Alligator mississippiensis: one gene and its partners. The protein of the gene in region 2 interacts with the protein of the main gene of each other region in a pairwise test. Links are inferred from orthologs where the notes say so. Each region holds a gene or a part of one and is shown on either strand. Other genes may lie near its edges. The genes, in order: UBQLN4, PRPF40A, HNRNPUL1 and CCNL1.

Region 1 (7,787 bases), on a different chromosome or scaffold from region 2:
CAGCAGATGAGACACAAGCAAGAGACTCCCTTTGAAAGTTTTCATGTTATTTTAATGCAGTATCAAGACGCTGGAAGCTGCCACCGTTGCTGTTGAGCCCAGATGTCCCCGCAGAGCCGTACATGCCGTGCCACACAAGCTCACTGCTGCTACAGTTCTTGGTTAAAGGGCTTCTCACTGCGCCAGCTCCATCCACACGCCACGCTGCCCCTCCTGACTCCTCAAGAGGCTGCCACTTGTGTGAGTGGCTCTTCCAAATACTGGACCAGCGCCTGGGCCTGTTGGGAGAGATTAAGATGTAAGCCGAGCACGAGGGTCAGCAAGTAGAGCAGAAGCAGCTCTCAGCCTGGATTAGCTCTACTGAAATCTAGCCTCTCTGCCCTGGGCCACTGTACTGAGAGCAAAGTGCCTGTATTTAGGTGCATACCACAAGCTCCCACAAATAAGTGACAAGTACCTTGGTTTAGGGAAAGCAGGATGAAGCGGGGGGGGGGGGTGGGGGGGGTGTCCTTTTAACCCACTTGTTCAGTAGAAGATACTCCCCTGATAGGCAACATTCAGGAAAGGTGAGTGCATGCTATGTGGATCAATATGGTAATGTTCCCTCCTTCCCCTCCCATTTTAAAGCAGGGGAGACTGAGGCATGGTGTCTTGCCAGAGGCCGTGGAGCTGAGCACAACAGAACCACTCTCAATTCACAAGCCACGACCTACCTAGAAATTATTTTTATGGCTCCCTGCAACACTCATAACCCAGACTATAGGCCACAATTTTGATGTTCCTTCAGAGCCAATTCCAGCATCACGCAGGGGCTTTTAAAAGCTTGTAAATACTAATTTCCTCCTGCGCGGGAGACACCCTTTAGAGAGCTGGAAGGTGCTTCCAGAGGCCACCTTAAAGCAAGAACTAGTTTCTGTATTTCCTACATAAAATGCTCTTTCACCAAAGGTCACATTGCTGTATTCTTCAAGTCAGATCTGTACTAAACATGCTCTTCACTGTGCAGCGACACAGCCATTCTCAGCTCCTCCTCCTGCCCAGGGAGCTCAGCATTACCTTGGCTTTCAGCATCCCAAATCCAACAGTCTCTTTTGCGTACATGCACAGCAGCAGATTTGCCACCCGGGTGATGGCAACGCGGCCCTCCTGCATGGTGAGAGAAAGCGGGGAGGGGAACAGAGCACTGAATCCACGTTTGCAGAGTTCTGCCCCAAACCTGCTTCTAGGGGTCTGGCTCGCGGCATCTCGAGGCCCTGCTCTCCCTCATCAAGATACCAAGGAGTCGTTGGGAAGATAGCGTGGCAGAGGGGTTAAGGGCCCTCGACTCAGATTTTACTCCTGTTTTGAGAAGGGCCTGCAAAGCAGCCCAACCAGGCCCTTCCCCTTTCTGTGCCTCAGTTTCCCCTCAATCTGCAAGACTGAGGCTGGCCTGTCAAGTGGTTTGAGGTCTACGGATGAAGAGTGCTCGATGCTGCTACTGCCTGTATGCAGTCCTTTACGCTATGCCAAAGTCAGGTCACACTTGTAAGCCTGGGCCTTGTTTTAGCTGATGTTTACACACCCACACCCTTTACTCCAAGTGGCAGGTGCAAAGTGCTCCCCTGTTTTGATGTTCTACTTCCCAACAATTAGCATTTCCATCAGGGAGATCTCAAAACACTTGAATAAAGCTCACTGGTCCCCACAACAAGGCACATACCAGACCCATTTTACAGATGGGAGAAACCAAGGCAGGAAGAAGCCACCCACTGGGTGCCAGGATCTCATGTTCAAGCTGCCTGGGTTTATCCCACCTTCCTGCCAGGAGTCCACCGACACCCCCACCCCCAACCCAGGTACCATGCAGTCCATCAGGATGAACTTCAAATTGTCTTCATTGAAAGCCTGGTGCCCATTCTTGTCATAGGCCACCCAGATGTTGCTGGCGATGGCAGCTGTGACCCTGGCGTCTGTGTCTCCGTAACCAGAATATGCCAGCAGCGAGCCCTCGTTGTTCAGAAGCCTGGAAAGGAGATGCAGGGAGGAGACAGACTTGAACCCCCATATGCACAGCCCCCAGGGTCCCACGCAGCCTCTCCAAAGTCACAAGTATCCCAAGTGTGACCCCTCCACCCCAAGAGGGAAGTAACCAGCACCCTCCCCTCCCTTTAACACAATACCACCCAGGCAGGTTATACCTTCAGCTGTAAGTGCATCACCCCATGTGTGAAAGAAGATCACCGTCTTATTATTATTATTCAAGGCCGAATCCTTTCCAAATTCAATCGTGAAAGCCCAATAATCAAGTATCAAGATTCAACTGAGCAAAGCTCAATTGTCAAGTCTGCGTGACTCTACCACTGGGCAAGTGTCCTCCTTCCTGGACCTATCGGTCTGGGGCTTCAGAAGCTCCCCAAATCCAGGCAGGCATCCTACATAAAAGCTACAGAAGCCTTGGGGTTTACATTATAAAAAAAAAGAGGGTGGGAAGGGACCTCAGGAGGTTACATCTGGTCCATGTCCCTGCTGAAAGCAGGACCAGCCCCAACTACATCATCCCAGCTGAGGCTTTGTCCAGCTGGGGCTCTTAGCCATAAAGAAGATCGGCATCTACCCAGCTCCAGGCAACCTCACCAGCTCCAGGACCCGCGCCCCTGATGGTATGTTTTCTTCCTGCCTGTTGCAGCAACCTTGAAATGCAAGGAAGCCAAGGCATCTTTGGCTCTGGGGTGCAACTGGGGAGGTGGGAAAAGATTCCTATGCCCTTAGCTTTAAGGCTGTTGGTTGTAGCCGTGTCGGTCTAAGGACATAGGCAGACAAGGTTCTTTGGGTAAACGTGTTATCTTTTATTTGGCCAACGAAATAGTTGGAAAAATTGTTCTTTGCGAGCTTCTGAAGAAGGGTGTTTATACCCAAAAGCTTGCAAAAACAAATTTTTTCCAAGCATTTAACTGGTTGAATAATAAAAATCAATCAATAAATCAAATTTACCTAAAGAAACTTGTCTGCCTGTGCCCTTAGCAGTGTCTCACGTCAATGCATGCAAGAACGGGCAGAGCTGGAACGAGCCTGGTTGCACTTCAGCAAACCATGCACAGGCACATCAATGCAGCTAGTCCTGCAAGCTAGTGCCCCAGCCCCCCTGGGCAGGGAGAAGACAGGATTTAGGGGCTAGGCTGGATTACTGCTTTTTACGGCACACTAGGCTGCATTATATGGCTCCTGGCAGGGATGGAAACCAAGTGGTGCCTGTTTCTATCCTGAATTAGGAAGAGTACAGAGGAAGGAGGCTCAGAGGTACTGAGCTGTGCCCCAGGCTTTGGAGACCCCTTTCATCCAGCCACCCCCCGACTCCCCCATACTCACAGGGTGCTCTGGACCCCCCCGGTGTTGGCCTGGCTCAGCACCTGGGTGAGGGCTTTGGGGCGCAGCATGGTCACCACCGCACGGCTCTTGGCCCTGCAGCAGGGAGGAGAGGAAGGCAGACAGCTCTGAGCTCTGCTTCCCCATCAGCTGATGGCCCCTGGGCGCCCGGAGCAGCCTGGGAGCTGTAGTCCTGGCCTGGCTTCTGCCGAGTCAGGCCCACATGCGACAGGCGCAGGCATTGCATGGCCCTGCCAGCAACTCAGGCTTGCAAGGCAGCTGCAGGCAACCTCCAGGACAGGAGCTAGGCACATGGCCCACACAAAGATCTTGCTGTCCACCCCCCAGCCCTGCCAGCTCAGTTCAGTTTCCCTTTTTAAAAAGCAGAAACATTGCTTAGAGTTACCATATGTCCGGGTTTTCCCAGACACGTCCTCGTTTTGGGTCCTCTGTCCAGGCAGTTTTTTAAAAATATGAACAAATATCTGGGATTTTGCTCTACTCAGCATCATTTTTTTTTTCCCCCTTGGCACTTCCCAGCAAGGAGCTGTTTGGGGCTGGGAGGAGCAGGCGAAGGGCAATTGGAGGCAGCGCTAGGGGGCTGCGGGTTGGGAGTGAGAGGCACCAGCATGGCCTGGGGGTGGGCAGGGGCTGAGGGTCAGGAGCAAGATAGATAGATAGGCACACATACACTGAAATATATATTTCTATCTTAACAAGACCAAAATCCTGCTTTAACCCCATGGCAGGCACAACACGGCTGCATCTCCAGCACAGACGCTCCCAAACAGCCATGAGATCAACCCCCTTCGCACCCCACCGCTACTTACATTTGGGAGCTGGTGATGTGAAAACAGAGAAATGAATGCTCTGATTAATCCCCACATCCAGGTCAGCTTCCCTCCGGCCTGGCTGCAGCATTTTACAGCTCCTTTGCAACCGCCTTGAGCCTGGGGAAGGGGCGGTGGGTGGGTGTGAGCTCTCCAGCTGGCAGCCCTTAGGGACAATCAGCCCCTGGCTACCCAGAAGCTAGCCCCTTTTTCAGAGCAGCTTCTCCGTGCCTCAGTTTCCCCTGTGTCACTTACGGAGCAGAGTTGCGAGGATTGAGAGGGGAGGGGGGCTCATGGAGCTCAAGACAGTCACCAAGGGCCATGCATACCCTTCCCCACATCCAGCACGCCTCTCCCCCCAGGGGCATGCATACCCCCTGCACACAGCGTGCCTCAGTTTCCCCACCCAGATGCATGCATACCCCCATGCACACACACAGTGTGTCTCAGTTCCCCCCGCAAGGGGCATGCACAGCCTCAGTCTCCCCACCAAGCCCCTCCACTCCACCTCCCCTCGCCCGCAGTTCCCCGCCGCGCCGCCAGGGGGCGCCGAGCTCCCCGCGCCCCCCCCCGCGCCGCCGGGGGCCGCTCTCCTGGGCGGGGGGCGGGGCCGGGCCGGGCCGGGGCGGGCGGCCAAGATGGCGGAGCCGAGCGGGCCCGGCGCGGAGGGCGCGGAGCCGGGGCCGGGTGCGGCGCTGATCCGCGTCACGGTGAAGACCCCCAAGGACAAGGAGGAGATCGTCATCGGCGACGGCGCCTCCGTGCGCGAGGTGCGGCCTGGGCCCGGGGCCCTGAGGCGGGGGCGGGGGTAGGGCCAGGGCCGCGCGGGAGGTTTTGCCCCGGGCGGGGGGGTCGCCCCGCGAGCAGGCCGTGGCCGGGTTGGGGGCGGGGGCGCCGAGCCAGGACGCGGGGCTCGGGCCGGGGGGGCGCGGGGGCGAGCGGCGCATGGCCAGGCGGGCGCGTGTGGACGAGGCGGAGCCGGGCCTGTCCTCGGAGCCGCGTCTTCACGGGCGGACGTGCCGAGCCGGGGCAGCCTCCCGCGGACGGGATGGTCCTCCCGCGGCGCCGCGAGGCCGTCGGCTCAAAACCCGAGCGTCCTCGTGGGAGTCGGAGCCAGAAACGGGGCCGCCTGCTTCGCTCCGGCATGCTTTCTGCGGTGCCGGCCAGCGGCGATGATCCGGTGTAAACGGGGCCCGTAATCCTCGGCGTAGCTGCTTTTCACGTTAAGGCCGTTGCGCTCTGCTCTTGCAAAGCTCGCCTGCACGAGCCGAACGGGCGAAGGATGCACCGTCGCCCCCTGAACCACCTCAGAAACCAGCTCGGCCCCGGGGATGCTGCCCGGTGTCCTTCGGACCGCGCGAAGGCTTGTTCCCAGCGCTCCTGTAGCCTCTCGGGCAGACTGGAAAGCGCCTCGGCCTGAGAATTGCCTCCTTTTGTCTTTGTCCCTAGTTCAAAGAAGAAATCTCCAGGCGGTTTAAAGCCAAACAGGATCAGCTGGTTCTGATCTTTGCGGGGAAGATCCTGAAGGATGGAGACACGTTGAGCCAACACGGGATCAAAGATGGACTGACTGTGCACTTGGTGATTAAGACCCCACAGAAGTAAGAAATCGTCCTTTCCCGGGGTTTTAGGAAATGACGCCGCGTGTTTGTGAGTTCCTGGCCGTCAAGCGTACGAGTTCAAATTCGGGGGGCTGCGGGACTTTGCTCTAATTGGGTCTTGGCTCCCGGGCTCCTGGGTTTCATAAAGCTTTGCAGAGTTGACGTGCTTTGAAATCTTACGAGTATTAGTTGTTGCGTGTAAGAACCTATTAAAGCAGGGATTTCTCCGGGTGACAGGGCGGATATGGAGATTATTTCACTTGCTCACAGCCATGTGAAGCCAAAACCTTGCGCTCCAGGGTCCCCGTGGCTGCGGGGTCCGGCCGTCCTGTGCGCTGGGAGATCTTTCAGCAAGAGGCGTTCAGTGAGTGTAGGGTATTATCAAGAGCACGTAACGACGTTTTTGGGGGTAACCTTTCAGGCAGACCAGAGACATGGGGTGTAGATCAACATACTGGAAAGCTGCTGCTGGGTGACTCTTAAGTTATAGTTGTCTAATGATTCCTGGTGCCGTTGCCGCGTTACAGATGCAAGCAGGCCTCCTTGTTCCTAACGGCCCTTTCCCACCATTCCTGGGACTCGTCTTTCCATCTGAGCAGTGGGCGTCATTAAACAGGCTCACGCTCCTTTTGAAGCTGTGTTGTCCCCCACCAGGAGCGCCTCCTCCCTGGCTTATTAAAAATCAGTACCTCTTTTCTGAAGCCACACGAATTGTCAGCTACTGTTGGAGGCTTTTGTACAGAACAGTACCTGTGCACGGAGCGTGCTGATGCCATGCTGCTTCCCGCTGTCTCCGCGATAAACTTCAGCACTTGCAAACTGTCTCCTGGGGTAAACTAAAAACTGGCCCATCATTCATTTTTGTCTTTCTAATGGTCACCAGCATGTGTGCATCGCAGCCTTTCCTTCCTGTGCTGAGAGAGTCCAAGTGACCCTGATCTTTCTTCTTTTTTTTTCTTTATTAAACTTCCTATTTCCCATCTGCTTGGCTTCTCCCCAGTCTCCCTGACTGCAGCCGCTGCTGTGGTAGCAGCGAAATTAGTTTGTAAAATGCTTGGGATTAAAAATTGCCATGGAAAGTTCCATGGAGGCAAAAAAATCCTCATCCAACAATTTCTGTGCTCCCGGTAGCCGCAAGCCTGCTCCCTGGGTAGTTATTCTGAAGTATTTTTCCTAGGGCAAGCATCTCACAGCAGCTGGCTAGGCATGCTCTATTTCAGCTGCTTTTGGAGGGGAGGCTGAGCGAATGGAGGTGGATGGCAGAGAGATCTCGGCAGGCTGCAAGGGGAGAAAGGCTTTCAAAGCAGCTGGCCAGCTGTGATTTCTTTCCAAGACACTGCCCATCTGCAGTTTCAACCCCTTTAAGGGCCACCTCTGCAGATTCTCCTTTCCCAGTCTCATTGCTTTCCCCCCGCACTCACAGCTTTCCCATAAGGTTTTTGTCTCTCCTTTTAGAAAGGCAGTCAGCCTTCCTTTCTGCTCAGTGCAAGGAGCTACCTCCCTGCAGTCTGTTCAGGTACTGGGGGCAGCAGGTTCTCTTGCCGAGCGGGCAAGGAAGGTATTAACCCTTCTTTGTGGTTGAATGGCCAGTTTATGGGAAGGGGGCATCATTTGCAAACCACCTGATGGTTCCACATTCATAATGGCATTGATATGCACTGTAGCCCCCTTTTTCAGATGAGTTGCTGGTAGTTCCAGGGCTCATGCCCACCTTCCCATTGGGGATTGGGACTTTAACTGCTTTTGGGTTTTAAAGTGTCCTTTCCCTCCCATTGCTGTGTGAGAGAGAGAAATGAGGAAGGGAAACTAGCAAAGCTAGAACAGCTGTGGTAGCAAATGGCTTCTCACCCTGCCAGTGTGGGTGTGTCCTCTTAACCTTAACAAGCTTGCTCATGGATCTGACTAAGCTTGGGTGCAAGTTTCTGCAGCATCAGGGCCTTGCTTCTCTCCCATTTCTACTTATAATATGCCCTGTTGGTTGAAGAGAAAAGAACATGAGAAAGTCAAGCTGGAA
Region 2 (7,630 bases):
CATTCAATTTCTGCTTAGGGAGGCTTTGCTCACTAGTAGCTGCACTAGAACTAGAAAATGAGGAAGAGAATTGCCTGTTTTTAAATTCAGAAAATAATTAGCAGTCGTAAACGGCAGGAACATTCACTGTTTTAAAAAAGGAAGTTCAAAATCTCAGAAATGTTCCTTTGCTAACCAATCTGAGCAGTAATTTTTTTTTTTAAGATTTGCATTATACTAGCACAGTCAGCATATTACAAGAGCATATAATAATCCTCAAGATACAGCTAGGAAAACTCCTGCAAAGTCAGGAGAACATTAATTTTATATTTCTTCTCTCCATCCTCCTGTCATTTTCTACCATTGTTTATGAGAGTTGCTTAGCATCATGTTAAAGAAAAATCCTCCAGAAACTGAAGATTCTTATTAGAATTAAGTTCCATATTTTTCGCGATTTATAACTATATGCTGTTATATACACCTTACTTCTCTTGTGTGACTAAAGGAGAATTGTCTAAGTTATCAGCGTTATAACTGGTGGATTCGAGTGACAGATTCCAATATAGGGCTATTGTTTTTCTTTTAAAATTTGAAATCAAAAAGCAGCTTCATTATTTGTTATAGTAGAAACAGTATCTGTAGGACCCAAATGATATACAAGAAACCCGGGATTATAAGCATCATGATTTCCAAGGAATGAGAAACTTACCAGTCTAAATTATTTCTGATCATTCTGGAGAAAGTCAAATAAGCGGCCTTACCTGCCCCATTGGTGGTCCTCCCATTGGAGGCATCATCTGAGGCATCATACCATGTGGAACTGGTGGCATATTTGGTGGTCTCTGGCCCATGGGGTGCATCCCCATGGGTGGATAGTGAGGCATGCCTGGGTGACCCATCTGAAAGACAAAGTTAATAAATGAAAAATATTGATATCAAACATGAAATGCAAAAATTACAGAAATATCTCAATGGATATACAAACATTGCCTTACACGCCAGTTTAGCGTTGACTGAGGAAAATATGTAGAAAATTCACTACATCAAAGCATTTATGTATTCATGATGTACACGAATGGACTATAACTACCATAAGTTGTCAAAAATGTACAGTTAACAAACCTAGCTAAAAATTCCAAAACAATGGAAAAAAAATATATTCCCGCAACTTGCAAATTAGCATGCACAAATCCAACAAACCAAAAGGATAAAAATATTTTCACACATGGCTCTGACTGCTCAATGAAAGCATTACACATGTCATGGAACTCATTTGATAGATTATAAAATCTCTTCCTTTTTATGATTAAGTTTATAGTTAATACAACATCTTCTGCATCTATACTAGCTGCAGTCTATTTCTCGATGCATTTTCTAAAAACAACCATAACTATAGGGCTTTTTATGGACATTAAACTTTTTAGTAGAAGTGGACTGATTGAGATTTTTGGGGCTGATACAGATAGCTGATATTTAAGGAGGCGTATTGGCCGATACTGATCCAATTTCCAACAAAGCTGCCTCCAGCTGGGGGCAGGGTCAGGCACTGCCCAGGCGGGGCAGGCTCCCACAGCTGTCTGCACCCTGGGAGGGTATGTCCCCCAGATCTGCACAGGGCAGGGCAGGTTGCAGCCAGGGCTGCACAGGGCTCTTCTTGGCAAGGGCTGGGCTCAGAGTGGATGCCAGTGTTACTGGGAAGATGCTGCATCCATCCCAAATTTCACCATCGCTCCACTCCCATTGCCACCGCTGCCAGCCAGCCAGCCCGTGCAGCCCTGGCTCTTCCCAGTACGTAGGTGGAGGCAGGGCATTGAGATGGGGCTGAGCTGGGCGGCTGCAGTTTTGGGAGTAGAGCAGCAGTGAAACCTGGGATAGATGCAGCATCTTCCCAGTGCTGCCAGCACCCACTCTGAGCCCAGCTCCCGCTGAGAAGAACTCTCAGAAGTAACTTGTGCCGAACAACCTGCAATACTAAGCCAAGATCCCGGAACCCCTTCCTGGGTAACAAGTGAGGCGCGACTGGGAAAGTTTCAGCTGGCGACAAAAGAGGTGCAAACTGAACAAAAACAGAGATGATGTCAAGTAGTTTTGAACTCTTGAGCAATTCTGAGCCTGGCAGCAGGGCAGGAGTCACCCATCTGCATCCTGACACGGACAGCCAGAGAGGGAGAGGGATGAGTGCCCCCCTGTTAGGGCTGGCACCTGTTCCTGTCCTCCCCACAGGTGGGAGGGTCTGTCCCCACACTGGGAAGCCCTCCCTGGACAGCAGAGCCGAGGCCCCGGGACCAAGCACTAGGCGCCCCCGCAGCAGTCACGTGAGGTCCTTCGCCCCCGAGGGGCCCCTCAACAGCCGCCGAGAAGGACAGAGGCTGGCGTGCGCGGAACCGTCCCGCCACGGTCCCTCCCCCTCGCCCCACCCCCCCCGGCTTAACCCTTCACTCACCATGAGAGAGCGGTCTCCTCCCGGCCTCATCGAGGGGTTGAGCAGACTGCCCCCGCTGCAGCGGCCGAGCAGCCTCCCCCGGAGCTGCTGCCGCGAGGGCCCGAAGGGCATGAGGGGCTCGGGCTCCCCGCGGGGCGGGAGCAGCGGGGCCAGCAGGCTGACAGGCTTGCCCGTCGGCCAATCCGGGCGGCCGCCGAGCCGGCCGCTCTTCGGCGATTGGTCCGAGGCGGCGGAGACGGGGCGCACGGCATCCCCCGGTGTCAGCTGCATGAGGGGAGGCGGCTTCGGCAGCGAGAACGGCAGCGGCTGAGGCGAGGCCGTTGCCGCCGCCGCCGCCGAGTCCCCACCGGACATCGCGGCCCCGGCCCGGCCCGGCCCGCGGGGCCTCGGAGGGAGGGAGCGAGCGGGCCTAGGCCCCGCACCAGGAAGCGCGGGCGTGAAGCTGGGGCGCGCGGGCCGCCGACGAGACGATCAGGAAGCGGGTACCGCCGGCCTGGGCCGCTTGCCGCCGGGGGGGGGGGAGGTGGGGTAGGTCTCGCGCTGGGCTTCGGAGCTCGCGCGGGGGGAAAGCGCTGCGGCTGGGGTCGCGCGCGGGGAACGCTGGGAAGTGGTCACGTGGGCGGAGGAGGCGGGGCCGCGGGACGCACCACTCGCGCTTGAGAAGAGGGGTGGAGAAAGCGGCGCTCTGCTAACGGCTTGGCTTTGTCCCCATCCCCGGAAACCCCGTCCCCCCCCGGCCTCGCGCGCGGGTTGGTAGATGCTGAGCGCGAGCCGCGCTCTGGCTCTCTTTCCCCCCCCCCTCCCGCGAGGTGGTACGGGCCGTAACGCGCCCTCGCCCTTCCTGTTCCGGGTCAGCGCGCGCGCGCGGTTCCACCCCTTCCCCCCCGCCGCGCGCATTGGTGGGGGCCGGGCAGGGAAGTGGTGGCTCCACCCCCACTCCTTCCTGCCTCCCTTCCCGCCGCGCGCGTTTCGCGCCTTCTGTCGCGGCGTGGCCGCCATGTCGCTGTCGCTGGGCGGGCGCCGGCGGGGCCGGGTCGCGCCGTGGGGGGCGGCGCCGGCGGGGCCCGAGACGCCGTGGGCGGCGGGCGGGGCGGTGATGCGAAGCCTGTACCCCGAGCTGCAGCAGGAGGAGGCGGGGGTCGGGGTGGGGGCGGGCCGGTCCGGGGTGCCGCGCCCGGGCCACAAGCACAACGGGGCGCAGCGCTGGCCGGCGCGGGCCTGCTCCGTGCTCTGCTGCCTCGTGGCCGTCTGCATCCTCGCGCTGCTGCTGGCCCTCGCCGGCCTCGTGCTGAGGGGTGAGCGCTGCCGGCGGGGCGGGGCGGGGCGGGGCGGGGGGTGCCCGGGGCTCCGTGCTGAGCGCTGCCTGTCTCCGCAGATCTGCAGGCTGAGCAGGAGAAGAGCGAGGAGGCCGCGGAGACCCGCCTGCTGGGTACGAGCCGCGGCGCCGCAAGCTTTGCCCCGCGCCTCCTTGGAGATGGTGCTCCTTAGTTGTCCTGGGACGCGCCGGAGGGGGGGCGGGGGGACTGGCACTGCTCCGTGCAGCCTTTAAAATGGGGATCCTGGACTTGCCCTTGTTTGGCAGGAGGTAGAGTTAGAGATTCAGTTTTAGCAAGAGACGGATGATCCCCCAAACCAGCCTGTCTTGCTCCCTCCCATTAGGAGCTTTCTGAATCCTGCTGAATCATAGGTGGACGGGTGCAAGCTAAGCAAAAGAAGTCAAATTGCTTTAAATTTTTCTCAGATAACACTTCAAAGTGCGCAGCTGGCAGAGAAAAGCAATTATAACTCTTGGAAGAAACCAGGGTTCTTGTAAGGACCCGATGTTTGTTTTATCGCTGTTTTCTTGGTTATCTGCTGACTCGGTCCCTTCTCAGTATTCCCTCCGCTGAAGTTGGCTGACTTGTGGGTCCGATATTAAACATTGAAATGATTGTGGTGGCAGCTGCTGGTGATTTTGGACACCTTTTGCAGCATTCCTACCTTGGTTTAGGTACCTCCCTTTACTCTGCTTGGGGCTCGCATGCAACACACAGGAGCTCTGTGCCACTTGCCATGGGTGGTCAATCCATGCTGTAATCTGCAAGAAATCTGAAAGTCATAATGCATCATATAATCACGAATGACATCATTTTTTAAACATAATTACTTTTGAGATGTGCCCATTTTCTAAAAGGTATGATGTGTACAGGATGCACATTTTAAAGGTAGAATGAGTTTACAGATGAAATTGTATTTACATGAGAATATAAATTGGAGAAATAAGCATTTAAGTTTAAAATGTACATAGCGCCTATAATGAATTTTGACTTAATTTCTAAAACAGTTAATATAACATTTGCCTAACTGATCCAGAATTTTTTTTTTTTTGTTGTTTTTTTTGTTTTTTTAAGAAATTGAAGCAAAGATCTACTTATGATTTCAAGTGATTCCAAATCTTAAAGCAGTGAGGACGTGTAGACTTTTCCCTATCAAGTTTCATCCTTGTGACCACAATTCAACACCCTAGTGAAGCATGACTTTCAGACTTAATTTTAATTTCTTTACCAGTATTTGTTCACTTGCAATAGATACCCCAATATAGGTATTGCTCTGTTCATACAAAACTGCCTGGCTCATTTCCATTTGGGTGGTTTGCCACTTCTTAATTAGCAGTGGATTGTGGAATTAACCATTTGCTGCAGCTTTTATTTCAAAGAATGCTGCTTCTCTACACAGCTAGGGTTCATTAGTGGTCCTCTAGCGGTTTGGAAAAGCAGTGCCCTTTGAAACAAAACTCCAGCCAACAACGAGCACCTCAGTGGTTGTGCACAGCTGGACCCTTATCTTTGCTGTGGGCAAGGAACCTGATTCTACAAAGTATCTGGGTTCTACTGTGTATGTTCATAGTTTAAAAATAATTAGGGGTACACCAATAGATTTTTGGGGCCAGTACTGATAGCAGATTTTTAAGGAGGCTTATTGGCCGATACTGATCTGATTTCTGATACCCCCCCCTCCACTCGCCCCCTGGATGAGCTGATTGCGGCTCTGTCCTGTCCTTCCCTGCCCCACTCCCTCACCACGGGGGCCTTGATCTGTTCCCCGCACACATCCTTTCCCTCTCTGCTCTCCATCCACCACAACACAGCAGACTTACCAGCTGTGCACAGCTCTCCAAGCTGTCAGGCTGTGATCCTCGCTGCCTACATGCTGCACTGCAGCTGTGTGTAAGCATGAGGCATTTATTGGCCAAATCAAGCCAATTTCTGATGCAGTCAATTTTCTTTATTCACCTCTAAAAATAATACCAACACAGAACTAGATATACCATTCTCTTTCAGGAATGTGGAATCATTATGTTATATTGTGAAGCTGAGTTCTTTGAAAATCTGTTGTAATTTAGTGTTCTCATACTTATTTACATAAACTTCTCTTTTTATCCCTTGTTAAGGATTTTGGGGTCTGCTTATTCTAGCCTTGACAGCAGGGCTCTCATGCTGCAGCTTTTCTTGGACAGTGACATATTTTGATTCCTTTGAACCTGGAATGTTTCCCCCAACTCCGCTTTCACCTGCACGATTCAAGTAAGTTCTTACCAAACCATTACTGCAATGCCAGGATTAGGGTTGGATGGGCATTCTAGTTAACTACAAGACAATAATCAGGAATACTGCAAGCTTCATGCTTATGAGGTCGTGGGGTTTCATTAATATGGAGAAAATGAGAAACTGCATACAGAACTTTGCTATGTACATGTAGTCTGGTACTGGGTAAGTAGTTCACTTTCTGTGTTCATTCAGTCTTACTAGCTCTGTTGTTGAGGTTGCACATTTTGGAGATATCTGTAAGGATAACAAATATTGAGACTGAAAAATGGCCCAAGAGAGAAAATTCCTTCTAGTTTAATTTGAGTTAAATTCAAGTAATTGCTTTGGAAAGGAAAAACTCCATCAGATTTGTTGTTAGAAGAGCATTTAACAAACAGAGAGGAAAGAATAGTTATTAGGGATGCATTGATAAAGATTTTTTGGGCCAATACTGATGGCCAATTATCGATCAGCCAGTACCAATCCGATTACCAATATGCAGCCCAGCAGCATGGAAAGCAGCATCCAGCTGGTAAGTCTGTTGGGAAGGGGTGGGGTGGGGGCAGACTGCAGCCCCTGCAGTGAGGGAGGGAGTGGGGCAGGCATGCAGCTGGGGTGGGATGGGGTGTGGGACGGAGCTGTAGGTTCATCGGGTGGGGGGACAGCTCCTGCCACTGCACACCCTGGATCTGTGTGTGGGGTGAGGGCGGGCTACCTGCTACGTACTCAGAGCCAGGTTGCACCAGCCTCTTTCCAACAGCTGTACTCGGGTCAGGTGGGGCAGGCAGCAGCGGTGCTGGGAGGGGGGCCTGCAGAGGGCTATGGTGAATTTTGGGGTGGCTCTAGTCCCCTCTACCTCTAGTCCTCCTCCAAGCACCACTGCCTGCCTCACCCGGCCCAACCCAAGCGCAGCTGCTGGGATGAGGCTGGAGCAGCCCCGGCCCCAAGCCTGCAGTGGACAGCCTGCCCTCCCACCTTGCAGAGATCTGGGGGAAGGGAGGCACATGCCTCCTATGCCTCCCCTGGGGGTTCCCAGTGATGGGAGCTGCCTTCCAGATAAGTCGCTGGCTCTGTCCCATGCCTGCCCCACCCTGGCTGGGCAGCGCCTGCCCCAGCCCCACTCCCTCACCATGGAGGCCTTGATCTGCCCTCCCCTGCCCCCCCCCACCCCTTTCCCCAACAGACTTACCAGCTGCACACAGTTTTCCAAGCTGCTGGGCTCCATTCTTGGCTGTGTGCATTCCTGCTGCAGCTGCACTCATACATGTGGCATTTATTAGTAACATTATTGGCCACTTCAGCCAGAAAAAGACTATTGCTGTTAATGTCAGTTTTCCTTTTATCTGTGCCGATACAATATGAACTGATGTATCCATGCACCTCTAGTAGGTATGGTGTAAAGCTTTGTTATTCTCCTATTACATTACCCTAATAATGTGAAGATAAACATTTAATAGCTAAACCAAAAAAAAAAGCCAGTTAAGCTTGTGCTGCTGGGTCACTAAGTGAACCTTGCTAGAAACGGTCATCTGTCAGAACTACCTCAGGCTGTACTCATTTCTGTTTCCTTGTCTATTGGTTAGCCATTTTAAATTGAATATAGTAGCTGTAACGCCAAACAATTATAACTTGTTTTCTTCTC
Region 3 (6,995 bases), on a different chromosome or scaffold from region 2:
TTGCTATAACTTCTAACGTCATTCGTGGTTTGTGTGACTCCAATCCAACAGGTGTTAGCGGCGCAGCCCTAAAAGCTGGCTATTGGTTTTGGTCCTCTTTGCTTTCACTTCAGTTCAAGGCATGTTGCTTTATCGTGTGGAAGACCCAGTCCATTTTTGTCGTCCAGCCGCCGTAGTGAGCATCGTTCATCTGTTTTGTGAAATAGTCCAGAGCTTCCTGCTCAGTTCTGTCCAAGGCGAGCGTCTTTCGAACGTAAGCAATGTCATCAAAAGACTGCAATTCCGGTATGCCCGAGCCGAGCATCATGGAGAAGAGATTGATGAAGAGATTGGCCTGCTGCCGAATTGCTAAGTAAGCTTTATAGCACATCTCTTGAAACCTTTCAAACTCCCGCGTTTTGGTACAGTCTTGGTTTCCTTTACTAATCACGAGTAAGAAATCTTGCGTGAGGACAAATGGCACGCGCTCTCGCTTGTAGCCAAATTTTTTCTTCTTGTGATCCAGGAAGTGCCCAAAATCGATGTGAAACAGCTGCCCGTCATCCTTCACCATGATGTTGCTATTGTGACGGTCACCGATGCCCAGTATGAAGGTAGCGACGCAATAGCCGGCGCAGGAGCACGTGAACAAGTCGATCGCTGCGTCGTACGCCGCTCCTTGGTTCTTGTCTTTGAGCCACTGATGTAGCGTGTGGCTGCTGAACTGCAGCGCGCCCTTTAGGCCTCCTTTGCACTGAATCTGCATGATTGTATAAGAGCTTCTGACCACCTCGATAAGGCCCACGCGGTCGCCGATAGACAAACAGCCATAAGGCAGCAGCCGAAGATCAAGACCTTCCTTTTGCCAGATGTTTTCCATAATTCGAATAATCTGAAGCGTTAGCATGTCCTGACGTAAGTCATCCCCGTTTTTAAAGATGATCTCATTGTTCTGAAACAACAGTTCAGCCATAATATCTGGGTTGTCCCAGTTTAGCCAGAGAGGCCTTCTTGCAGAGGACATAACCCTGCACTCCTCAAGCCTGAGGTTCCCTAGCCGAAGGGCAGGGTTAAGAGGAGAGATAAAATCTTGCAAAGCTTCCATGAAATCTGGTCGCCTCATGTGTTCAACGAGAAACTTCATTTGTGCCTTCGGTGCTTCATCTTTCTTCTCCTGCTTGAGAATATCAGTAAGGTGAGTTAGTTTCTCCATGGCTTCCACCTGCCTGCGCAGGTGCTTTAGGTACATCCCGCATGCGCGACAGTAGGACTCCAAAAGCAATCCAAATCTCTGCCTCACACTTGTATTGTGCATTTCAGACTTTAAATGCCAAAAGAAAAAATGTCCTATTGTTTGATTGGTCAGTGCTTTCTGGAGCAAAAATCTCCCCAGCAGATTATCTAAGTATTGCTCGTATTTCAGAACCTGTACCAGCTGGATTAAGTACTGAGACAGCTGGTCATCGGTCAAGCACTTCTCCAAACACTGAATGGCAAACGATCGCACCACAGGATCAGGATAATTACAGTCCAAAAGCTCCATTGCCTGTTCTGCCTTGATTAGGGGCCAGTCTTTTATCAGGCAATACATCTGGGCTACTTCATCTCTCGAGTTCCATTTCACGGACAAAAGCAGCTTGGGCAGAATTTCTGGGATGTTTCCACAACTATATCTGTGGCTCCAAAGAAAGTCCTTCTCTTGCTCAGTGATTTCGGAAAGCGGGTCTCTTGCGCTAAGTGCACGGAGTTGTTCTTTGTCGCTTTCTCTTACTTCAAAACCTTTAGCTAGCCTGTTAGTCAGCTCCATACGGCTGTAGTTACACCCGAGTTCCAGAGAGACAGCCCTGCTGGCATGGTCTTCAATCACCGTCATGTCTGGAAACTTGACAGGGCCGCCAAAACTATCAAACTCCAGCTCTAGACACGGAGTTTCCTTGCTTGGATTGGACCCAGTCATGCCAATAGGATTCAGCAGATCTTCCAGCCCATGTGGCACTGGCCACAGACTCAAAGCCATTTTCCCCGATACGAGAGTGTGCGTGTAATCAAACATGTTCACGTTTCCCCAAGCCAGTGGGCAATGTTCCTCTTTCGCACCCCTCCTGCCTTTGACAGAGCAGAGGGAGAGGCAAAGGCGAGCGGCACGGGGGAGATCAGGAACGTACAGGTCATACGACAGCCATTCGTTCCATCTCGGACGGCAACAAGGCACCCTTCGAGTTTTCACGTTGTCGCATAACGGTTCACCCCCGTGATAGATACCCGTTCGGACGTATATCTTGTCCACGTCTCGTGTATTTACATTGACGTACGTGGCACAGAAGATTCTTATTCTGAGACCACTGTTTATAGACCAGAGGGATTTGGCGGAAACTTCTGCATTCGTGTACGGGGTAGGCGTAGAAACACCTCTGGGACAAGACGGGATGGTAAAGCTATCCGACGGCAGCCGGGCATACAGGCTTTCTTTGGACATCAGCATCAGGTTGGGCACGAGGCCAACCATGATGCAGTTTCTGATGTGCTTATACTGGCTGAGAGGATACCTTTCTAGCAAGTATTCATCACAGCCGCACACTTTTAAAACGTACTTATCCTGGTACTTCAAGACGCGGCGTTTCAGTTGCTCAGGTGACAGCGACGCGCTTCGTGTTTGCGCCCTGACTGCTTCGGCGATCGCGTGCTCGGGCACGCAGTCATGGCTGATTTTTACGGGGTATTTCTGCTTGTTATTCAGGGAGGCTACGACCCATACGGCCACTACCATTTGCCCTTCGTCTAGCTTGTCGTACAGGGGCCGGGGCAGCTCAGGCGACGCGTGGACGCGGGGAGGCCAAGCGTACAAAGCCCGGCTGCGAGGCGCGTCGGCCCCTCGCCGCTCGGCGGCCTCCCGGCAGACGTTCAGGACGTTCCTGCGGAAGTCCCGCACTTCCGGGTCCCTCGACGCCTCCAGCTCGCGGACGGGCGTGCCGACGGCCAGCCCGATCTCCCGGTTCAGCATCTTCTCGTCCCGGTCGCCGGCGGGTTCGACCACTTGGAGAAAGGGCCGAAAGAGCCGCAGGTCGCAGAGCCGCCGCGCCTCGTCGAAAAACTCTTCCCGGGCGGCGTCCTGCGTGACGCCCACGAAGACGTAGCAGGCGGCGTCGCGGAGGAGGTGGGGAAGCGGGTATTTCCGGGCCTCGCGGAAGAGCCGGCGCTTCACGGACAGCAGCGAGGCCTCGCGGGGGCTCTCCAGGGGCACCAGCATCCCGTTGGGAAGGAGGCACTCGAGGAGGACGGTGGGCGGCATCGTGCGGGCGCCCCACCAGTCCCCGCAGGAGGGCACGGGCAACATGGCCGCCCTCTGGCAACCACCTCAGGACTGGGGCCGCGTGCCCTCGTCGCCCACAATGGCGCCCATGGCTCTCAGCCAAGGAGAGTGCGGCTGACAACGTGTCAGCAGGGCTGCACCAATAGGGAGCAGGCTAACACCCCGCCTCAGCCCTGGTTGCCAGGGCTCCGCCAATGGGAAAGGGGCAAGGAAAAAAAAAAACAACTTTAACTCGTGCAGGGCTCGGCCAATGGGAGGCACCCAAACAGCCAATAGGAGGCGTGTTAGCACGCTGGCCCCACCCACCAGGCGCCTCGCCGCAGCTCAGCCAATTGGAGGCGTGCTAACACTGGCCCCGCCCACCCCAGGCGCCTCCGCGCCCTCCAGCGCAGCAGAAGAGCGACGCCTGCTGCGATTGGTCCGCTGCCAGCCTCTTTCGCTGTCAATCCCGCCCCGCCGCTTCCCCCCAAGCGTCACCCGGGTTCCAGCCAACCGCCGGGCCCGTAACAACCCCGCGGCCGCCCCGGCCCAATGGGGCACCCCGTGACAAACCGAGAGCGAGCGGGAGAACCGCGGGCGGCGGCCGGGAGCCAATGGCGAGCCGCGTGACATGGCGGGCCGGCGCGCGGAGCCAATGGCGGCGCGCGTTGCAAGGCGGCCCGGCGCGGGGAGGGAGGAGGAGGGCGAGGGCGGCCATTTTGAGCCGGGGCCGCGGCGGGGGCTCCATGGCCGGGCGGCGCGCGGAGTGACGGGCCGGGCCAGGCCGGGCCGCGGGGCCGGGGCCATGGACGTGCGGCGGCTGCGCGTCAACGAGCTGAAGGAGGAGCTGGGCCGCCGCGGCCTGGACACGCGCGGCCTCAAGGCGGAGCTTGCCGAACGGCTGCAGGCGGCGCTGGAGGCCGAGGAGGCGCGACGCGGGCCCGGCGGCGGCGACCCCGCGCCCGACGGACACTGTAAGGGGGCAAGAGCCGCTCCGCCACTGGCCCCGCTGCACCTCCGTGGTGGGACCGGGGCCCGCGGTGCAGCTCCGCCATTGGCCCCCTGGTGCAGCTCCGTGCTGGGGACCGGGCCCCCTGGTGCAGCTCCGTCATTGGCCCCCTGGTGCAGCTCCGCGCTGGGGACCGGGCCTCCTGGTGCAGCTCCGCGCTGGGGACCGGGCCCCCTGGTGCAGCTCCGTCATTGGCCCCCTGGTGCAGCTCCGCGCTGGGGACCGGGCCCCCTGGTGTAGCTCCGTCATTGGCCCCCTGGTGCAGCTCCGCGCTGGGGACTGGGCCCCCTGGTGCAGCTCCGTCATTGGCCCCCTGGTGCAGCTCCGCGCTGAGGACTGGGTCTCCTGGTGCAGCTCCACTATTGGCCCCTGGTGCATCTCCGTGGTGGGACAGGCCCCCTGGTGCAGCTCCACCATTGGTCTCCTGGTGCATCTCCCCTGGTGGGGGGAGCTCCCCAGCGCTGCTGTGCTGTGCCCCCCGCCCTGCTGCACCTCCAGCAACAAGCTCTGACTTGCAAGTCTGTGGTGGGGGCCAGGTACCCCAAAAGGGTCACCCGCGCTCTCTTCCTGTGGGCCTTGGCCACCGGGCCCCCAGGCTGCCCTGCGGGACAGGAGCCGGGGCAGCCCACGGCATCGCGGCTCTGCTCCGTCACCCTGCTGCAGAGGGCCGGCCCGGCGGACCTGCCCGGGCATGCGGTGGGGATTGTCCTGCTCACGTTCTGTCTGCCTCCCCCATCCCGTAGCGGAGCTGCCTCCCGGCCGAGCTGGTTTTGTGCCGTGGGAGTGCTGAACCCACTCAAGACCCTGGGAGCCAGGACTTTTTTGGGGGCCCCCCCAGCCTTAGCTGCAGCAGTGGTGGGACGCGACACGCTGCCTGCCTGCACAGAGGAGCGCACGCCGGCCTCAGGGGCCTTGGCAATAGGGGCTCGCCGGCTGCATGGCTCGTTTCCATACGGAGCCGTGCGGCTCCGGGAGGGGAACGCCAGGGCAGGTCCTCCGGAGATGAGCCCGGGGGTGCTGAGGTGCCCCGTTTGTGTCCTGTGCTGGTCTCCAGGCACCTTTGGGGCGCCTCAGCTCGCGGGTGTGCCCTCCGGGCTTTGTGGAGGAGGTGGCGGCGTGAGGCAGAAAGTTCCCCGGGGCGATGGATCCGACGGCTCTGCTTGAAAGTCGGGTGCCTGCCCAGAGTCCGGCGGGGGGGCTGCATGTGGCCCCCCGGTGCAGCTCCGCGCTGGGGACCGGGCTCCCCGGCACAGCTCAGCTGTTGCTCCTGTCTCGAGCCGGGCTGGTTGTGCTGGGAGGTCTGTGCGCTGGCAGCCCCTCGAGGCCAGCGTTGGTGTGTGTCCCGCGTCTCCGTCCCCTTTTCCTGCCGTGGGGAGCCGATCACCCCCTGGCTGCTTTGGTGACATTGTGTCTCTGCGCCGCCCCCCCCACCCCGGCACCTCCCTCCCGGCGGATCCCTGGTATCGGGGGGCCTACACCCCTCACTGCTGCCTTGCTGGATGCTTTGCTTTGCTTGCAGGTTTTTTGGGTCTGGTGGGTTTTGGCCACACCAGCTGGGGGAGCAGGCAGGCAGCTGGATCCTGCCTCTGCTGGGTTTCCCCTGGCTCCCAGCCCTGATGAGCATCACTCCCAAACTTCCCTGCCCGGAAACACCCCCAGGGACCTCGGTGATGCCTGGCCGGTCCCTTGTCCTGCCAACCGCACCGCGCTCTGTGCTGGAGCCTCCAGTGCAGCTCCACGCACCCCGCCCCAGTGAGCGGGACCCACAGCTCCCTACCGGTTCCCGTCTTAAGCCACGTCTCTGTTGCGCAGACGACATCGACAGCAACACTCACCAGAGCGACCACCAGGGCTACCAGTCCTTTGAGCATGGCGCCGTCAGGCAGGAGAATGAGTCCAGCTACGAGCGGCGGCCAACAGAGACGGAGCATCCTGGCCTGCACCCAGGTAGGGACCAGCCCGCCAAGGGGCCTTTGTTGGCGGGAATTGGTGGGGCGGGGGGTCCCACAGGTGCCTGGCCCCTGCCCCTGGGAGTCTCCTTGGCCATGGGGAGATGTGGGCTGGGTCCTGCCTGGCAGCTGCCCCATGGTTCCCTGCCCCCAACTTGGCACCTTTGAGAAGCCTCCACTTAGGGCTTTCGAGTGTTGGGTTCTCCAGTATCCCTTGAACTCAGCACCAGCCCTGCCTGGCCCTTGTTCCCTGAGCTTGCCCTGCCCACCCCCCTGCAGCAGTTTGGAGAGACCCCCCCCCACCCCCCTGTCACCCTCAAAGACCTCACTGAGTGTCTGAGGCTGTCGAGGCATCGCTGTCAGGCTGCACCCAGCCTCTCCAGCCCCCTGACGCCGCCTGTTTTTCTGTGCACAGAGATGAAGTCGGAAGTCAAGCAGGAAGACCCCACCCCCGGCTACAACCTGCCTCCCCCCAGCTACAACGCCTCAGCCCCCAGCTACAACATACCACCCCCCGGTTACAACCCACCCCCTTCTGGCTACAGCATGCCCCCCTCTGGCTACAGTGCCCCTGCCCCTGCCTACAGCGTGCCCCCAGCTGGCTACACTGCACCTGCTCCTGGCTACGGCGTACCCCCACCAGGCTTCAGCGCCCCTGCTCCTGGCTACAGCGCCCCTCCTTCTGGCTTCAGCGCCCCACCGGCCAACTACAGTGCACCTGCCCCTGGCTACAGCGCGCCCCCAGCGAGTTACAGCACCCCTGTACCAG
Region 4 (6,832 bases), on a different chromosome or scaffold from region 2:
CGCTAAGAGATCCTCCCAGTTGTGGGCCTGAAGAGATTAAGGACAGGCACTGGAAATATGTCCTGAAAAGAATAGGGTCTTCTTTTGCTTTTCAACCCAATCTGTATCCCTATAATCTTGCGAGGTCCCTTCCAGCCCTAATAACTATGAAATCTTATCACGGGAATAAAGGCCGTGAGGATTAATTCAGGGCAGGGGGGAAACAAAAGAGCAAGCCGTTTGCAGGGAGAAGAGGATAAGTTTGATCATCGCTAAGCTTTTCCAAAGAAGTGATTCTGGAGCACCAGCTGTGGCTGTGCAAATACATGGCTGCGCAGTAATTGGGGCAGCCCACAGAGATGTAACTGCTTGCCCTCGTACATGTTTTACTGAGAATGTATTTCTCGATTCTGGAACAGTTGCTTAAAAAGAAGTGTGATCCTCCCTGCTCTGGGGCAATCCTGGGGTTCCTAAAGAACATTTACACCAGAAAGGTGAGGTTCATTCCAGATCCTCCTCAGGTGGCTGCAGAGCTCTGAAGTTGCCACCTTTGAGCAGTAGGGAAGTCAACAGTATAAGTGATTGCAGTCATTTCCACTGTATAATAATTCAGTCAGAGACTGCTGGAGCTTGGGAGAGGATCAGATCCTTGTTATTAAAGAAGCATTAACCATAAAGTGATACAACTAGTTAAAAAGAGGATTTGCATTCTAGATTAGAGTCAGTGCCCTAATGAGTTGTGCGCTTGAATTGCTATGGTTACTTAGGTACCTGGTAGACTTTAAAACACGATTAACCAGTTAATTACATTTTAAGTAGTAACCCAGCCACAGGTTAATACAATTAAGGCACGATAAAACAAGGAATAAACCACAAAGCTATTACACAAATACGTTATTGTTTCCCATGTGCATTAAATTTAAGGCAATCCAGGCATGAGATAATCAATGGGCCCCTGAGGCTGGAAGTGGCAGTCAGCTGGATGGCTTGACACTGTCTGGATATGACCCCTGATCCCACAATCATGCCTCCTGCTATGCACATATAGCAGGACAGGAGGCATGGATGTTGGGATTGTGCATCAGATCTCCTCATGCCTTTGCCAGAAGCCTTGACATACCAATTAGAATCTGTACCGATCAATCGTATTACTGGATGAAGTCCTTATCCGACTTAAAATGACCAAAGGCCAATTGGATCATAAAAATGCAGTATTTTTAACTGGTTTGTGAGTAATCTAGCATCTGACTGGCTGCACCAAACAAAATGCATTCAAGCCAGCCAGAATGCTGCTGGTGACTATTGGGGTATTGAACTGTCACTCTACTAGATCAATATCCATCACATAAAGTACATTAGTTGCTTGGTAAAAAAAAGTCATAAGATGACACTGGTACGTGATTGATGTTTTCTTGCCTTAAAAATAAATAGTTGTAGCTCTATGTATACGTAGGAGAAAATGACCATTTATTATAAGAACATTGCAGTCTTCTCAAACAATATTTATGCCAAAAATACTTGTTTAATTAGTTGAATAACAGTAATTTAGATGTTTAAATGTGTATTTGGTTTATCATGTTTCCTAGAACTAAATAAAGATGGCTAGAACAGTCAATTCAGTCTCTGGTATAAAAATATATTTTACAGATTTCTGTAAAAGTTTGGGGTTTTACAAGCTAACGCTATTTGAAAATAAGGAAATAACAAACACAAGGTGGAATAATTTAGGCTGTGCCAAACCACCATAACCCAAATATATTCCTTCGGTGGTCGTAATACAAGTTCAGGATACAAAGGCCTTATGTTTTGACTACATGGTGATGACACTGTTAAAGACACAATTCCTTATTACACACAGGGTTTCATGTTCCATCTTTGGCCATGGTAGAGTTCATGGTACTGTTGGATGACACAGTTATTCTAGGAAATTATTCTAAGAAAAATCTGTTGGTGAGAAGTATTGACATCAACATACACTAGAGTTAGTCCTTACTTTGGTTGTATGTTCCCATGCTTCTGTTAAAATTTATACTATGACTTTAGTGTTTTTTAATTGCAAGTTTTCTAAACAATTTTTATGTATTCTAAATTTTTTTGTATTCTAATCTTTATGTATTTTATGTATTCTAGCAATTATTATGTATTCTATTTTGTACTTTATTAATAAAGTCAAAGAGCAAAGAACTTCACTTGAGGACCCAATATGAAATATTTACTGGTATATCAAACAGTAACTACCTCTCCATTTAAAATAAGTTGCAGCGCTATAATCTAAAATGTGAAGTTAGGCCAGTGCAAACCCCTGCATGGATACTCATTTCATTTTGAGTAGTTTTCAGTTTCAAATGGCAACTGGGAACAGCTTTAGTTTAAACTAGATGAAGTGACTCAAATGAGTGTCTACACAGTGGGATTTTGCAAGAGTTCAAGTAAATCATTTTCAACCAATGCAACCTCTTCAGATGAATATGGTCTACTCTAACTAACTTCTTTCCTTTGCTGTTATACGGAGTACAATGCCCTGGTTAGCTGCCATTTTTCCCCAAAGCTCGGCTGCTTCAATAGCGTAATGGCCTAGTAGAGTTTATAAATCGTTTTGTGATGAAAAGCAGCATAATAAATTCAAGTTATTGCTCTGAGTTCCCTCCCAACCATGAAAGCCATCAGACAATCTGTGTGCAGCTGTGGATGTAATAATTTCCTTTGCTTCCACAGAAGAGAGAGCAAACAGAACTATAGATGGTTGTGGCTATAAACATTTCCTTCCCCTTTCTTGCACAATGACCCAGCAGGTCTTTACGTACTTGTATGTTCTCTTCCAGCCCAAGTGGGAACTTGGGGGTTTTCTCTCCTCACTTTAAAGAGTAACCCAATCTGGTTGGGTTGGAGGCAGCTTTGTGTCTGGCTCCCCTTGTGGGGCTGCCTAATTCTCATGCCGAAGTTTCATAGCTGGTAGGGACAGAAGGGACCCAAGGAGATCATCTAACAGGGCTTGTGCTGGAGTCCAGACAACTTGATTGTCTCGTGGCTGATCGTCCTGGACTTTGACTCCCATCGAACAGTATGAGGCTGAAGTTGATTCCTTATTCCCGTGTCCTTTTTCAAAGCTAATTCTTACACAATTAAAGGATCATAATAATGAATTACACAAACTAAAGAGTGTTTCATCAAAGATGTGTATTTACTAATAAAAATGTAAGATAATCACATACATAGCCCTAAAAAAAAGACCTGGGATTAGGGGGCAAAGTCACTTTCAGGTCACCCTCAACACATCCGTACACCACTGGGGGACAAGTCTATACTTCTGAGTAACAGAGCAGGGTGCCGCCCAACCCCAAGCGCGGAAAGTGCCAGTCTGCTCACTGATGGCCCCCGAGGCCTGTGTGCCATGCACGTCGCACTGAAGAATGAGCTGGGTTTGGACGCGATGGGCAAAAATCCTTTGTGGGTCACCCCAAAGCCCAAGCGGACTCCCCCCAAGAAGGCTGGGCAGAATCCAAGGCTTCGTTTCTGCATGCCGTGCTCCCAACTTGGAAGCCCCCAGGCCTGAATAAAAAGCTAGGTTTGGGCTGGGATTGTGGGTGGAAATCCTGTGCACCTCCGAACATTCAATCCTCCCCGCCCCACCCCACCCCGGGGAAGCCGGCTCAGAGCCCGCAGCTGCGGCCGCGCAGCCAGCCCGGCCCAGCAGCGCAGCGAGCACAAGCACTAGAGTCAGCACAGAGGGGGGGGCTGTGCGCGCCGCCTGCGTCACCCGGGTGGGGCCACATGCGCATGCGCAGAGCCAGGCCGCGAGGCCAGAAGGGCAGGGGGAGGGGGACTCTTTTTTCCCAGCGCGCCCCGCGCGGAGGCGCCGCGGAGTGCTGCGTCACGGGCCCTGCCGGGCCGGGTCATTCCCTGCGTGGCCGCCGCGCGTGAGGATCGTGCCCGCGTCTGCGCCTACCGACCATGGCCTCCGCCGCCGCCCTGCCGCCTCCGGCCGCCGCTGCCGCCGCGCCCGCAGCCCCGGCCCTCGCCCCGGCCCCGCCGCCGGCTCCCGCCCCGGGCATCCTCATCGGCGACCGGCTGTACTCGGAGGTGTCGCTCACCATCGACCACTCGCTGATCCCCGAGGAGCGCCTGTCGCCCACGCCCTCCATGCAGGACGGGCTGGACCTGCAGTGCGAGACAGACCTGCGCATCCTGGGCTGCGAGCTCATCCAGGCGGCCGGCATCCTGCTCCGCCTGCCGCAGGTCGGTGGCGCCTGGGCCTGGGCCGGGGCGGCCATTGTGGCGGGCGGCGGGTGGGGGGAGGGGAGCGGGCGGGCCGGTGCCTGACACAAAATGGCGGCGGCGGTTGCGGGCGGGGGGGAGGGGTGCGCGCCCGCCGCCCGCGGCTGACCCGGCCCCGCTCCCCCCGGGGCTTGTGTTGGCAGGTGGCGATGGCGACGGGGCAGGTGCTGTTCCACCGCTTCTTCTACTCCAAGTCCTTCGTCAAGCATAGCTTTGAGGTAAGCAGCTGGGCGGTTGGGCCGGGCGGGGGGGCGGTGTCTCTGCCCATGGCCCCGCGCCTCTCACGGAAATGGGCTTCTTTGCAGATTGTAGCCATGGCCTGCATCAACCTGGCGTCCAAGATCGAGGAGGCGCCGCGCCGCATCCGTGATGTGATCAACGTCTTCCACTACCTGCGCCAGCTCAGAGCCAAGAGGTAAGGTCCGCTCTGTCTCCTGTGCGCCCCCCCCTCCCCCGCAGCCGCGGAGGTTTTCAAGCCTGCCAGGCGAGGCGCAGAAGCGGAGAAGGGAGTGACCGTAGGCAGTGACGTTCCCAAAGCTGGCTTCCATTTGTGCCATTGCAGGGATCGGCCAGGAGCAGCCTAGGCAAACCTTGTAGCTACATGCTGGATACTTGCAGGAGGAGCCCTGAGTGTTGGGTGTAGTGTAAGAGTCTGTCTGTGGCTAATTGGGGGTCTGTAAGTCTTAAAAGAAATCCTGGATGTGAGTAGTGGTTACCCGGCTGGGTTGTACGTTCTCTTCTTGCCTGCTGAATCCTTCATGCAGGTCTGGTGTCACTCTTGAATTAGGGTCTTGTTAAAGCACTTAATCCCCATGTGGCTGCAGTAGACCGTATATCAGGTCTTAAAAGACTGAAGCCTGATAAACTACAAGCCCATCAAAAAAATATCATAGTGTGTAACTAGGTGGTGTAATTTGGCCTGTAGCACACGCAGCTTGAAAATGTATATCTTTGCTGTCAAGTACCTAATTGGCTGGAGGCTGAGTGTACCTTTAATTACTGGAAGGGAGACTGGTATTTTTATGGTGTAGTGCCATTACGTAAGTTAGAGAAGTTGGAATGTAGTCACGTGATGATGTTTGCGTTCTGGGTGATGCTGCTTGTTTTAGGTTTAAGTCTGTTTTTAGCTGAGTGCTTATTTTTTTTTGGCTTTTCTTGTAAAGCCATGTGTGTTCCTGTGTATAAGACCAGTTAACATGATATTAAAAGAGCAAGGAATGTGTTTTTGAAGAGAAGATATTCTCTTAATAAACTGATTAAGGCAACACTTTTTCTTAAAATTTGGCTTTTAAGCCGTGTTGCAAACTTTCTTGCAGTGCTGGTTTTGAATAGTTTAATTAAACATCAGAATTTTTGTCTGAGAAGTTCTGTCTAGCTGTAAAAGAGAATTTTTCTTTGTCTTGTCTTACAAGGTAAAGGGGGGATTCAAAGAGCGAGAGAGATTCCAAAACTTACCTTTTTGAAATAGATTGAAATAATTGAGGGAAAGTAGTTACATTTATTGGTGCACTTATTTAAGTACTTAATCTGGCTACAGTTGTGCCTTGAATTTAAACTTTTCTCTGCCACACGCTTACCTCTTCAAGTCAGTTTTACTAAAAGGAAAATTGACTACTGTTCTTTTTTCTTATTTGAATGGAACCTAGCTTTTAGAACAATCTTGTACTGGGAGGATTCTGCAAAGTTTATTGAGCTAGTACGTTGTTATATGGTGGTATGTTCTTACCATAATTACCATAGAAGATTCTGCTTGACTGCTAAAATTAGTTTTAGTTCTCCTTAATATCTCAGGCTTAACAATGAAAGTTAATTGATCATATAATAATGTCTTTATGGTGAGAATGCAAATTAGTTGCTTCTGTAAGCTGCTAAAGGATCAAAGAAATGGAAACTTAGGTATCAATGTGACACTTGGAAGATAGATTGTTCCAGATGAGAATGTCACTGCATGCCACATGGTGTCAAGCGCGCATCATGTCTAAAGAGGATCTTGTTCTCTTATTGACCCATTTGTTATCCCACTTCTGGAGAAATGGGTATCGTCTTTTAGATTCTGAGAAGTGAATCTACACAAAACTGTTCTTTAAAAACCTTAAGTCTGAAATTCAGACTTGCTTTTTTTTTTTTTTTTTAACCCAAGCAGGATAAACATTTTTCTGTACTTTTTACAAGCTTATTACATAAGCTGTACATGTTATTAACTTCAACTCTTTTTTCCCTTGCAACCGACTATACAGCGACCAGCTACATTTACCAAACCCTGGGTGATGTGGAGTGGTACATAGAGATGAAGCTGTCGTCATGGCAACAGTGAGTGAAGTATCGAAAATCCCCAAGGAGAAGCCAGTGCTCTGAGAATAGGTCACTGGAATCGGGGGACTAACAGGTTGGCCGCTGGTGAACCATTTGGAAGAACTCCTGTATCTTGTTCTAAGCCTTTTTCTTTGCTGTCCAGGTTTTTAGAACATTTGACACTAACATTTAGGTTGTAGTTGTAGTCTTTTTTTTTTTTACACAGACACAGGATTTATTAAAACAGGTTGCACTTAATTCTCACATTGCCTTTAGTTTCATATTT

The links.
Region 1: the proteins of PRPF40A (region 2) and UBQLN4 interact in a two-hybrid assay, tested with the Homo sapiens proteins (2 studies listed by BioGRID and IntAct). The link is inferred for Alligator mississippiensis from reciprocal best matches to the Homo sapiens genes PRPF40A and UBQLN4.
Region 3: the proteins of PRPF40A (region 2) and HNRNPUL1 interact in a two-hybrid assay, tested with the Homo sapiens proteins (2 studies listed by BioGRID and IntAct). The link is inferred for Alligator mississippiensis from reciprocal best matches to the Homo sapiens genes PRPF40A and HNRNPUL1.
Region 4: the proteins of PRPF40A (region 2) and CCNL1 interact in binary tests that used the Homo sapiens proteins (3 or more experiments, as listed by UniProt). The link is inferred for Alligator mississippiensis from reciprocal best matches to the Homo sapiens genes PRPF40A and CCNL1.

The regions. Positions count from the first base shown.
Region 1 is NC_081838.1:17,229,255-17,237,041, reverse strand, and holds the start of UBQLN4 (ubiquilin-4), read left to right. Parts: upstream 1-4,782; 5' UTR 4,783-4,810; coding exon 4,811-4,942; intron 4,943-5,621; coding exon 5,622-5,773; intron 5,774-7,787. Other genes in the region: ragulator complex protein LAMTOR2, read right to left, coding at 222-278, 1,057-1,146, 1,840-2,002, 3,346-3,438, 4,173-4,174. UniProt on the Homo sapiens protein: Regulator of protein degradation that mediates the proteasomal targeting of misfolded, mislocalized or accumulated proteins.
Region 2 is NC_081827.1:226,099,723-226,107,352, reverse strand, and holds the start of PRPF40A (pre-mRNA-processing factor 40 homolog A), read right to left. Parts: upstream 3,011-7,630; 5' UTR 2,777-3,010; coding exon 2,423-2,776; intron 879-2,422; coding exon 741-878; intron 1-740. Other genes in the region: ARL6IP6 (ADP-ribosylation factor-like protein 6-interacting protein 6), read left to right, coding at 3,420-3,717, 3,798-3,851, 5,853-5,985.
Region 3 is NC_081838.1:1,511,884-1,518,878, forward strand, and holds the start of HNRNPUL1 (heterogeneous nuclear ribonucleoprotein U-like protein 1), read left to right. Parts: upstream 1-3,989; 5' UTR 3,990-4,073; coding exon 4,074-4,242; intron 4,243-6,089; coding exon 6,090-6,224; intron 6,225-6,641; coding exon 6,642-6,995. Other genes in the region: phosphatidylinositol 4,5-bisphosphate 3-kinase catalytic subunit alpha isoform-like, read right to left, coding at 110-3,313.
Region 4 is NC_081830.1:66,221,881-66,228,712, reverse strand, and holds the start of CCNL1 (cyclin-L1), read left to right. Parts: upstream 1-3,818; 5' UTR 3,819-3,930; coding exon 3,931-4,215; intron 4,216-4,397; coding exon 4,398-4,472; intron 4,473-4,559; coding exon 4,560-4,669; intron 4,670-6,832. UniProt on the Homo sapiens protein: Involved in pre-mRNA splicing. Functions in association with cyclin-dependent kinases (CDKs). Inhibited by the CDK-specific inhibitor CDKN1A/p21. May play a role in the regulation of RNA polymerase II (pol II).